Linked DNA regions of Oryzias latipes. The protein of the gene in region 1 interacts with the protein of each later gene in a pairwise test. Links are inferred from orthologs where the notes say so. Each region holds a gene or a part of one and is shown in the gene's direction. Other genes may lie near its edges.

Region 1 (3,995 bases):
GGTAGCCACAACAAACAACAAATGCTGATTAACCTTTTTTGCATTAAGCTCCGTGTTGGCTAAGTTTTGAAGTCTCCGCTTTTGGATCGCGGGTGAATCAAGTTAGCTAGTTAGCAAGGCGACTAGCCAGTGAATGTTTTGAAAATGGTTGGTACTTTCAACAATTAAGCGAGACTTTAACCATTACATAATCTAATTCACGAATTAGCGATGTTAACCAGCTATCAAGATTTACGCAACGTCTGACCGTCAGGTTTAAAAACAAAGAGCAGTAGCGCTTCATTTCACTGCGCTTGAGTTCCTGGGTAACCGCTACGAGCTATGCTAGTTAGCAAAGCTAAAGGACTGAAATTTACTTGGTTCTGGAGAGTCCCAGCAAAACCGAGGGATGTCCCGCTCCCCGTCCACAACGATCCGGCCGTTGCTTTTAGTCTCCGTTCTGCTGAACCGTGTGGAATTCACATTCAATTCAACAACCATAACGACCTATGTGATCCCAAATTCACATTTGCTCCTTGTGTTTTTTTTCTTTCCCTTTTTCTTACAAATTCCAAGCAAAAGAAAAAAGAAAAAAAAATAATAATGGAGTTTTCTTTTGGGCATGCGCACTCAGCGCGTCAGGAATATTGTACCCAAAATGCAACGGGACCTTTGTAACGCTTGTCTAGCGCAGGTTGGAGCGTCCTGACAGAGGACACTGCATATATATCTATATATCCATTTATATCTATATCTATATAGATATATATGCATCTACATATCTATATATCTAGATATATAGAGATATAGATATGTAGAGAGATTTTAAACTTTAAAACCAAGTCCAGATGACATCCCCTAAACCTACTACAATGGAACCAACCTGGATGAATGAGAGTCTTCATAGACATACATATAGAGATATGTATATAGATAGATATAGATATAAAGATCTATATCTATCTATATACATAGATAGATAGATAGATAGATAGATAGATAGATAGATAGATAGATAGATAGATAGATAGATAGATAGATAGGGGGGAGTGTGTGTATCCCCTTTTCCTCCCGACTCAGGCTTAGTGAGAGATACTCAGCTGTTGCAAACTGTCAAGTTCACTCAGTAATGCCAAGCCTGCCATGCACAAAAATACACACACTTGGGCATCCATAAATAGTTAGATCTTTCCAGTCCCTTTACACTATTTTGTATATTGGCATATGTAAATATATATTACTTTAGTGAGGTTACATTCAAAGTGTAAAATCCTCTGAAGCGAATATCAAGAAACCACAAATAGGGGACCAAAGGCCAAAAGGCCTGAACTGACAGGACATTTTGGGCGGCTGCTTTGTTGGAGTCAGTAGCACAGATCGTACGCCACACCAGTCATCGTCTTTTGCTCAAGACCCACCATAGAGTTTTGACAATATACTGGATTTGTAACTTCCTCCGTGGTCTTTCACTTAAGGTAGGCTACCATTGCATATATAAACAATGCCTGTTAATAACCATTTCTGTTTCTGTTCTGTAAGTAGATTAAATTTGTTAAGTGAATTGTTCACCACTCTTAAAATCTGTGTGGTTTATTTAAAACAATTTTGTTCAAGATGATAGCTTGGATTTCGTTACGTTTTTTTTCCTGACTAGAAAAAAATCCAAAATTTAGCAATTATGAGATTTCAAAACCCAAAAAGAGTTTGGGTAAAGCTGTAGGTGACAATTTGCAAAATCCAAGTTACACTGTCAAACACAAAATAATGAAGCATATTTGTTTTGTTTTGTTTTTTTACAAAAAATTTCTTTCTGTATTTGATATTTCAACTTTTGCTGTGTGAAATTGTAGGTTGGTTAATATAAACATGCGAAAGTAAATCTGTGGCTAAATACATTTTACATTGGCATTTGTCTATTTTTAAACACTGGCAGTCATAAAATCCTAAACATAGAAACGTAAGGGAGTGATTATATGAACTCTCACAATTAAAAAAGAAAAGAGGTCCTTTCAGATGTACATAAAATATAATATTTTATAAACCAAAGTTTTTATTTTATTGAAATCATTTAGAAATTCTAAATTTTAAGTCAATCAACCCCATGTCAAACGTTGTTCCATTATTTCTAGGTTGGAAAGTGTTGACTTTGTCTGCATTGCATCATGGATCAGTGAGTACAGATCCACTCATCATTTGTTCCGTCAGTGTCAAAATGTTATAAGCTTGTTAGTTATCAATTAACTTAAAACTCAACTTGATAAGTGATACTATTAGAGATCTTTTTTGCAATGAGGTCAAAGTCTACCTATTAATTTCTATAAAATAATTAACTGAAGTTATTTTATAAAATTGTATCGTTTAAGACGAGTGTCTTTTGTAACTTGGAGTAGATTTTTCTTCTGATTACATGGTTTCCATGATGCTTGTTTTTTTTTCCCTAGTCTGTCATGGTAAAATAAGTTCAGTAAGTTCTCCTTTAGTGTCATTGCTGAATAAACATGCACCAGTAGTAAACCTTTGAGTTTTATTTATTAATTCCAAAATTGTGTTTTTTTCCCAATCCGTGGCTTCGGCAGCTTATAGTTTTTTCCACGTTTATTTATCTCAGGGAGGATGACAAAAACTCTGTGGATATTCATGACAATCCTCCAGTCCCTGACAATGTAGTGAGGGAGGAGGGAGACACAGTGAGTGACAGCACCATGCCAACCACCCACCATTAGGGCCATTCCCAGGATGTTTAAAATAGCCACCAGTTGGAACAAGGCTGCAGTCCACTGTCAATTCTGAAAATATGACCTCAGATTTAGATTTCCCTGAAGATAGTTTTATACATGTAGTCTAGACAGTTTGTTTCATTGCCAAAACTCTGACTCATACAAATCGAGATTCTTTATGAACACCACCCTTAACATGTTTCACATTTTCTGCCTAAGCTGTTTCTGCTATTTCTCAAGGTCTACTTCATATATGAAGAGGAAGTTGAAGTGGAGGAAAAGGAACCAGAACCTCCCCCGGAACCCATTCTTCGGATCAATGACAAACCCCACAAATTCAAGGATCACTACTGCAAGAAACCTAAGTTCTGCGATGTCTGTGCTCGCATGATAGTCTGTATGTGCTCACCAGGATACGCAAATACACAACCAGTCCTGTTAAATTTCCCAAAGAAATGTGTTTAGATTGACTTTTCATAGTGATGCTATTTTCTACATCAAAATGATGTGTGACTTTTACTGTTTTTCATTTGCACATCTTGCAGTGAACAACAAGTTTTGTCTGAGGTGTAAAAACTGCAAAACCAATATCCACCATTCATGCCAATCCTATGTCGAGTTCCAGAAGTGTTTTGGCAAAATTGTGAGTTTTATTCATCATAAAAAATGTTATATTTTACACTGATATCAAAGAATATGCAGTCAAATAGATAGACAGTCAATAAAATCTGTGCAAACTCAGATTATTGTGTTTTATAATTCAAAGGCTATAAACTCTTATGAATATTTTATTTTTTATTTTTGTGTTTCTAGCCACCTGGATTTAGAAGAGCTTACAGCTCCCCTTTGTATGGCAGTGACCAACCCGATCCAAGTGAGTCCAGAAAAGTTAGCTCAAAATAGACATGATTATCATAATCACTATTTTGAAAAAAAGAAAGTTACTTGTGTTGGAAAATTGCTGTAGCTGATTCAACAATATAATTGAAATAAAGAAAAATTACACCAGTTTGTACAGAAAATCTCCTTTTGGCTTAGCATAAAAATTAGATTACATCTTCAAAGGTGACATCTAACCTGGACTGTAGGCTTCTGCATTACTAGTCTTTTTAAATATTACTATCAAGCAGTCAAAATTAAATAGATAAATTATTGATTCAGCTCAATAATTTTGCATTCCACCAGATAATCCAAACCGGAATGACCCCGTCTTTGACACCCTGAGAGTGGGCGTCATAATGGCAAACAAGGAGCGCAAAAAGAATGAAAACGACAAAAAAAATGTGAGTGAAGTCTTCC
Region 2 (4,053 bases), on another chromosome or scaffold:
CCGTGAACCAGAAAGGCTGAGCGTCACTGTCAAATTCTATTGGACATTTTTTTAATCTACATTTCAGTTTACATGACAGTTTGGTTAAACACTGTTAACACATAACTAGTGATTTAACCAAATCAAAACACAACTTTCATTAATTCAATGAGAACATTTTACGTAAAAAATTGACAGAAAATGTTTGTTTTTTATATAAAATTGATTAAAATGAGATGTTATCAATCAATGTTAAGTACATGTTCTAAGAGAAGATCAATTGATTATCCTTAAGAAAACACACAGAAAATACACATGTATTGCATTACAGATGTCCTGTTTACTTGAATGTAGATATTATTGTGGCAAAGTAATAAACTGATTTTATCTCTTGGGTTTGACGGTTTTCTGTTAATTTATTTCTTTAGTATCTCACTGGTTGGTTAAAAATATAATATGTTAAATGTCTGTTGTGTCAAACTGCACCAATGTTGTTTTGCTCCGAATAAATACCATTTAAAAATGCTCAACAGATTATCAGACTTTTCAGTAAACCAAAACCTAAAAAATTGGTTCCAACTTAAATGTTTTTTTTTGTTTTTTTTTTAATATTGCAAGGTATGTAACATCTCACAGATATAAGCTTATATTCTAATTCTTCAAAATGCACATTTTTAGTGACAAATGGTAGAAAATGCATTAATTTGCATGAATAAGCAAACTGGATATCTTATAAATATTTTTAAAAAAGAAGAAGAAAAAAGAAAGACAATTTTGTTAGTGATGTAATTTTTCTCCCAAATTACATTTTACAAAGGGTTTCCTAATTTAAGTTGACATTAAACAAAATAGATGATACTGGACGTTTTTATGCTACTATCAAAAGTTGTATCATCCATCTAGGATTTATATGCATCCTGAAATAAAATAAAACACCGGTTGACTTCTTGGGCACCATCTTTTCCTGTAGCTCCGTGACAACAAAGTGTCTCCAGGAATGAATAGTGGTTCCGACACAGAGATGGGAAAAAGAGAACAGAACAGCAGAAGGAGGAAAGGAAGTCAAAAATCCTCATTCCTACCTGAAAACAGTCTGATAAAATGTCTCATGTACATCGGGAGGCAGGTTTTTCTGATTCTGCAGACGGTCCTCGGAGCATTTTCTGCCTCCGCCGCCCTTTTCCTCACCGCGAGACGCCTACGTCATCACTACGTACCCAAACACGTTACGTCCGCGCGCGCCACTGGACGCGACCAAATGAAATAAACAAAAGGAGCAGGAAATGCTCGTTAGTCGGGAAAAAAGTTGTATTGCTTCTATTTGCAGTAGTCAGATCTTTATTGCTGAGGATTACAAATCTACCGTTTTAAATTTTTTACTTAAATAAAAAAATTGTTTGTTGGGTCTTTGCAACTTTAAGCTGCGCGCGCGAGAGTCCAGCTTTAACGCTCTGCTCTTTGTCGCGTTGTTGGGTTGTTTGTTTGTTTGGAAGTTGCTGTCGAAACAAACGCAGCCGTGTGGGTTTCTTTCGTGGAAACTGGGAATCTAAACTTCCTGGATGAGTCCACGCTAACGGCCCGCACCGACCACGCAGCTCTGCTAACCAACGTAGCTGCTAGCTAGCTAGCTAAGTGTTACTTTTCCCCCCCGAATCTCCACTTTTTTGCCCTTTTGAAGATGTTTGGTTCATCGAGATCCGGAGGCATCCGTGGAGGCCAAGACCAGTTCAACTGGGATGAAGTGAAGGTCGATAAACACAGAGAGAATTATCTCGGTAAGTCCATAACGTGCAGTCGATTACGCTATCAGCGCGTGCCACACATCCAGGAAAGATTAGCTCCAGATGCTTTTAAACCCCGTGTGGCCCCCCTAAAATTAGGTTGTTTTCCTACCTTTTGTTATTGAATTCCTCATTACACAAGGCTTGGCTTGATCTAATAGCTTGATATCAATCCCGATTAATCTCCGTAAAGAAAGCAAAAACGTGCTGTCAATGCCTCCTCTGGTCGACACGTTCGTTGTCTCTGTGCCCTCGCCGCTGCCAGCGGGTCAGCATGCCCAGAGAGAGCTACGTAGTGATCACCACAGTAGTCGGGACCGAGAAACATGTAACAAAAGCAAATCGACAAGCTCTCATAGCTGCTTAGATTTCTGAATGTTGTCTGTGTAAAATATGAGCTAAAACCACAACCTTTCAGGTGCAAAGTCAAACAGAAATGAGGCTCAAAACACCCACCCTTAACATGGCAGGAGACTGTTGCCTTATGTGTGGATTGCCTAAATACTTGGAATTAAAAAAACAGTCTAACAACAAGACTGCACTTGTCTATAATGAGATATTCTAAAAGACAAAGTTTACTCAGCTGGAGGAAGTTTAAAACATTGATCTGATATCAATTTTACAGCTTATATTGCACACTTGTATATACTGTTTGTTTGTTTGCTTGTTTGATTTTATTATATTACAATGTTATCTTTACTACTTTTCCCTTCCTTACTGTTCTTGCACTGATGGTGATGCTTAAATCTCATTGTACTATGCACAATGACAATAAAGCCATTCTATTCTATTCTATTCTATTCTAATTTGATTCTTACACTTGAACCTTTATGGGGGAAAATGCAAAAGGATACATCTACTGGAGAAGTCTGGACTGCTAATATTTTCATTTAAATGTGTGTAACCATGATCATCTTTAAAAGTCAAATAGATTTATTGAAATGATTATTTGGTGCAAAACATTAAAACATCTAGATAAAAGAAAAAGTCTAAATATAAAGTATAACAATCCTGCATAATACATTTTGTATTCTGAATTTGTGGCATTTGAAATGTAGAATTTAAAGAAGAACCTTTACCTAAATAGTTTGACCTCTTCTGCGTTTTTTCCAGGAAACTCCTTGATGGCTCCCGTAGGACGATGGCAGAAAGGGAAAGATCTGACCTGGTATGCAAAGGACAAGAAAGGTGGTGCTCCTTTGTCCAAAGAAGAGGAGCTTGCTGCAGTCAGAGCTGCAGAGGAGGAGGCACTGATGGCTGCCCTGTACGTGCGACTTCCCATAAGCCATTTCCTGTACCTTCTTGAAGATTAGGACACAAAAAGTGATGCTTTGCGTTTCTTGTTCTGAACTTAGAGGCCATAAGAATATAAAGAGACAACCAACAGGGCTTACTAAAGAGGTATGGATACGTTGCTGGTCAATATTGGAAAAATTGCTGTCAAGTCCTGTAAGTTGAATTTGATTTTTTTTTTCAGGATCTTGTAGAGGTATGCCGGAGAGAAGAGGTTGATGGTGAAGAGAAGGATGTGGATCGTATCTCAGGTTTAGGAAGCTCAAGGTGAGATTATCTTCTTGTCTGTGTCATAAAACAGATTTTTTTTATGCAAAATGTTTGCTTTAGGAAAATTTCAACTTTTCTTTTTCTTATTATAAATGCAATTTGCTTGAACAAATGTACAGAAGTTATGTTTAATTGTCCAAATGACAAATGGGAGTTTGTTAATAGTTTTTTTTTTTCTAGTTTATACACTAAAATGAGTCAAATGATTTGTTAATCAGGTTGCTGGTGAATAATATTCTTGGATATTTCATGACTTTTCTTTGCAGTTTTAGGTTTGGCAGAATTCAACCTTCTGTTCAGAGGAGATAAGGTGACTGGCTGTCTGTGGTTTGTTTAAGTTGACTCCATCTTTATTTCCCTCTAAAGTGCAGGGTCACGAAAAATGGTGCTGTCCCAAAAGGAAAAGGAGGCGGCTAAAATGGGTCTGCAAATTTTTACAGTAAGTCGTCTTTCTACATCATCCATACTGCCATTTGGAAACATTATTGTATTAAAACAGCATTTTTTAATTGTCAAAAATTAGTAGTAAATATGTGTTTGATTTTTAATTTTTTAACTATTGACTTTATTAGCATTAGTTATTTAGCAATATTGACGAGGGTTGAGTATGGCAAAAAGAATGAGTCGATTCAGGACTATATGATTAAATATGAATCACTTAAACTTACAAATTTGTTTTTTTTATATATATATTGTAATTTTTTTATACTTAACCCTAAGAAATACTCTA
Region 3 (4,170 bases), on another chromosome or scaffold:
AAGAAAATATAGGACAAGGCTTATAAAGACATTATAATAAGAACAAAGTTGTTGTGGGAAATGCCTCACTTTTACAAACTCAACAGCTCGTGGGGAGAAGTCACAGGCGTAAACAAATATGTTGAGGTCGTCCTCCAGCAAAGGAAAGAGGCAGTTTCCCACGCCGCAGCCAGCTTCCAACAAAACCAACTTCTGGGACTCAAACTGTGAAGCAAAGCACAAGAATAACTGGACATTAGTTTAATAAGCTTGTTTGGCCATCTGACCTACAATATTTTTCAGCATCTTAAACTTTAAAGAAGCATAAATAGAGTATAGTTTAATATTTTAATATTACATTTAAGTAATTAATGTGAATATATTATTCATATTAATATATTTTAATTTATTAATTAATATATGATTTAGGGTTTTAAAAAATGGCGTAATTACTAGATAATTTAACATTTATAAATAATCTGAAGAAGAAGAAAGAAATCCCTATTTGATAGATAGAATGTTCTACATGTTAAATAGAAGATTATTTATTTTGTGAGTATAAAACAAGAAATAGAAACAGATGAAGACTGGTAAGTCCATGTATAAAAGTAATCTTACCTCACGACACTCTTTGAGTTCTTCAAATTCCCTGGTTGTCCAGTGTCTGTCTTTGAAGAAATTTGTGGCGTTTCTTTTGTAAAACAAGTCCCAGTTTTTTCGAGCTTCTTTCTCCAGTTTTATTTGTTTGAACTCAGATACAAGAACTCGCTCAGTTTTGAATCTACCCTGCTCCTCCTGGGTTAAATCTCTGGAGGAAGATGTTTTCGTTTGTCCGGACAGGCATGTTGGTGTGTCGTCCGTAGACTCGGTATCTTCGGCTCGGTTCATCATATTTCCACGCTGCTTTAAAGTTTTTGGAGATTTTTTTCCGTCTTTCTTTGTACAAAGTCATTAATTTACGACATTTTCAGTTGTTATTCCTGAACATTTATGCAGTTTATTACGTTTTCAATAAAACAATATAAAATAAAAGGTTGAATAAGCTAAATCTACAATAAAAAACCCTACTTCAATTTCAAACAATTCTTTTCATTTCCTCTGTTGTGTACGTTCACGAAATCCTTCCGATGAGTGCACGTAATTGCATTCCGCGTTGCCATCTGGCTTTTTATATAAATTGTTTATGAAACTAAAATGTACTAAAATAATTCTGTTTGATAAAAAACTAATCTAAATGCAAATTATCATTTAATAAGACAACCAAGTTTTATCACAGTTTTTGCCGCCGTCTGATCTTAGAGGTAGTTCATAGTCGAACCAAAATCAAAAGAGAGCACAGTGACGTCAGGGATGTTTTGCTAACTGTTAGCTTCTGCAGCTAGTTTTATCTTCCAGTTGGATTATCCTGTTTCTTCCCAGTTGCGACTGTTAGCTCACTTCTTATTACCAATATACGTAAATGTTAGACTTTTAGACAAACTGAACCATGAACGGTAGTACAAACCCGCTGCTGGACAAAGAGGAGCATGTTTTGAAGCTCGGAGAAAGCTTTGAGAAGAGGCCAAAATCTTCCTTTCACACCATCCGATGTGAGCGTGAGACCGCGTTGTGTTTACAAGACCTTTAAGTTCTTAACAAACTCTGGAGTGCGGCTGGTTATCTGCTGTAAATGTAGAGGCTCTCTCTCCAAGACTCTCTTCAATACTTTTCAGTCATTTGAAGATAAAAGCAGTTTGTTTTTTTGGTTGAGCTTTTACACTTTATGCTATTAACTACCCAATACTTATTTTACTACACCAAAGTTTATCTAATTTTTTGTGAGAAACAAGTTTTTTATATTTGCCTCCAACCAGGACTCATTTTTTAGCCTCCAGCTCCACATGGAGTGGCAATTGAAATTCTCCTTCAAAATAAAATGCAGATCCTATCTGTTGTAATAAACACAATCTGGATTGTTGGGGCATAAATGCTGAATAAAACAACTGGATGCAGGGACAACGGTTTATAGTCTTCATCGTGTTTCTTGTTCAGTGTGGTATTTAGAGATATCCAGTTTTTCTCAGAGGATTCGTGTTGCTTTATTGAAGTAGATGTTTGAAGTAGATGTTTCACAATATAGGATTTATTATTGATACCAAAACACTTTTATTGTGACGCCTAGGCTTGGAATTGCATTTTATTTACACTAAAAAGCTTTTCTGTTTACTTTTATTAAAAAAATTCATACTGTTATTCACTCAGGTTCAATCATATTGTTTCCATGACCAGTTATGTGAAGACAGTTTGAAAAATGTAAACAAAAATTAAAATAGAAATGCAAAAAAAAGAAACGATTCAATTGCTTTGAGTCAAAGCCTGTGTTGTATTTTGAACTTGTGTGTCAAAATAGACTTTGGCTGGACTTGGGAGAGAAACCATCCGTGTTACAGAGCTGTTGTAGTAAAAGGGTTTTATGATGCATGTGATGTCCTATTTTAAACACTGACCTCCCCGCGTCACAGTATTCCATTTACTCATTAGTTCACTTTTAGATCTCAGTAAAAGTCACCTTGGGGCATTCTCCGGAGAAAGTGGTCATGTTAAATTCAAACTTTGAATGCAATTGATTTATAGTGTTATAAAACATATTCAATTTGTTTTGTACAGAACAAAAAATTATCTGTATTAAATTAGCATTTTATCTCATTTATTATAGTTGATAGAATTACAAATGCAGCCAGGGAAAACAACCCACATTATTTTTTTCATCTTATGCTAGTATGAAATTACTGTAATTGCTTTTTTGTATTTTGGTTGTTTTTCCCTTCCAGGTAGTTATTCTCCAACTGTAATTATAATTCCATATATGTGTGAATGCCAGTTCACGGTGTTTCCCTCTAAATAAAAAAATAGGCAATCAGGGAGAACACAAATTTGACTCGATACATTTCATTTCCAGATGACTTCAAACCAGCATCGATTGACACCAGCTGTGAAGGGAAGCTACAGGTCGGAAAAGGAGATGAAGTTACAATAACGTTACCTCATATTCCAGTAAGGCTTTCCTCTTTTTAACAATCTGGTCAGAGATGCATGCACATCATGATCTGCCTGATCTCTGCTGACTCATGTTTTCTGTCACAAAAAGGTCTGACAGCTGTTTTGATCAGTCACAGTGCAGTCAAAAAATCTAAGCAATCATGTGTCTAAAAAAATTATGTTCTGAATGTATCCTAGAATTGTGACTGAAAAAGTCTGTTTATCTTCACTATAACACTGCTCTTGAACAAGATGATGTAGTTTTTTTGATTTTGATGTAACCTTCTAAAAGGGCCCTTTTCCAAGCTTTAAATACATAAAACTGCAACTACCTGTTCTTTGTCTTTCAGGGCTCCACACCTCCAATGACAGTATTTAAAGGAAACAAGCGACCGTATCAAAAGGATTGCGTGCTCATCATTAATCATGACACGGGCGAATTTGTACTGGAGAAGCTCAGCAGCAGCATCCAGGTTAAGAAAACAAGGTGGGATGTCAGTGTCCTGGTTTCCAGAGTCCTGCTGACTTTGGGTAGTAGATGTGTATTGTCTATAAGATCTTTAAATTGCTCAAGATGAGGAAAAGTTGGCTGATGTATGTATCTGTGCGAACAGAGCGGAGGGCAGCAGTAAGATCCAGGCTCGGATTGAGCAGCAGTCGGTTCGTTCCAGCCAGCCCGGCTCTCAGTTCCGAGCCCCAACCAAGCCGGGAACTGGGATCAAAACATCCCCATCCCCATCTAAGGACAACCCCTCTCCAGAGCCTCAGCTGGACGACATTAAGAGAGGTGAGGAGGTTCCTGCACTGTTGGTGTTTTACAAAGTCATGATTTCTCAGAAAAAACCCTGCTAAAGATGACAAAGAATGAAAAACATTTGGACAAATGTGAGTACAAAAAAAGACAAGACCTTGAAATATGAAATGCTGATCTTGCTGCTGTCGACAGAGCTGCGGGCAGAGGTGGAGATGATTGAACAGATGAGCAGCAGCGGCAGCAGCAGCTCCTCAGACTCAGCCAGCTCCTCGGGGAGCGGCGACGACAGCAGCAGCAGCGACGGCGAGGGCGATGCTCCCCGGCCGCTCAGCCAGAACTCCCCCAGCCGCAACCCCATGGCCAACGGAGGGATGGAGCGCCAGCAGGGCAACAACCAGCTCATGAACACACTTCGTGAG

Evidence for each region. The genes of interacting proteins can lie anywhere in the genome.
Region 2: the proteins of stac3 (region 1) and c17h1orf35 interact in binary tests that used the Homo sapiens proteins (3 or more experiments, as listed by UniProt). The two-hybrid records come from large-scale screens. The link is inferred for Oryzias latipes from reciprocal best matches to the Homo sapiens genes STAC3 and C1orf35.
Region 3: the proteins of stac3 (region 1) and eaf1 interact in binary tests that used the Homo sapiens proteins (3 or more experiments, as listed by UniProt). The two-hybrid records come from large-scale screens. The link is inferred for Oryzias latipes from reciprocal best matches to the Homo sapiens genes STAC3 and EAF1.

The regions. Positions count from the first base shown.
Region 1 is NC_019865.2:7,551,712-7,555,706, reverse strand, and holds the start of stac3 (SH3 and cysteine-rich domain-containing protein 3), read left to right. Parts: upstream 1-1,146; 5' UTR 1,147-1,454; intron 1,455-2,108; 5' UTR 2,109-2,141; coding exon 2,142-2,149; intron 2,150-2,587; coding exon 2,588-2,666; intron 2,667-2,936; coding exon 2,937-3,093; intron 3,094-3,241; coding exon 3,242-3,339; intron 3,340-3,509; coding exon 3,510-3,570; intron 3,571-3,881; coding exon 3,882-3,979; intron 3,980-3,995. UniProt on the Homo sapiens protein: Required for normal excitation-contraction coupling in skeletal muscle and for normal muscle contraction in response to membrane depolarization. Required for normal Ca(2+) release from the sarcplasmic reticulum, which ultimately leads to muscle contraction.
Region 2 is NC_019875.2:27,890,665-27,894,717, forward strand, and holds the start of c17h1orf35 (multiple myeloma tumor-associated protein 2), read left to right. Parts: upstream 1-1,202; 5' UTR 1,203-1,657; coding exon 1,658-1,754; intron 1,755-1,872; coding exon of another isoform or gene 1,873-1,894; exon of another isoform or gene 1,895-2,194; intron 2,195-2,839; exon of another isoform or gene 2,840-2,873; coding exon 2,874-3,024; intron 3,025-3,115; coding exon 3,116-3,161; intron 3,162-3,237; coding exon 3,238-3,320; intron 3,321-3,689; coding exon 3,690-3,762; intron 3,763-4,053. Other genes in the region: guanylate kinase, read right to left, coding at 1,062-1,095.
Region 3 is NC_019874.2:26,172,674-26,176,843, reverse strand, and holds the start of eaf1 (ELL-associated factor 1), read left to right. Parts: upstream 1-1,319; 5' UTR 1,320-1,465; coding exon 1,466-1,568; intron 1,569-2,917; coding exon 2,918-3,012; intron 3,013-3,347; coding exon 3,348-3,484; intron 3,485-3,611; coding exon 3,612-3,784; intron 3,785-3,943; coding exon 3,944-4,165; intron 4,166-4,170. Other genes in the region: mettl6 (methyltransferase-like protein 6), read right to left, coding at 70-204, 598-870. UniProt on the Homo sapiens protein: Acts as a transcriptional transactivator of ELL and ELL2 elongation activities.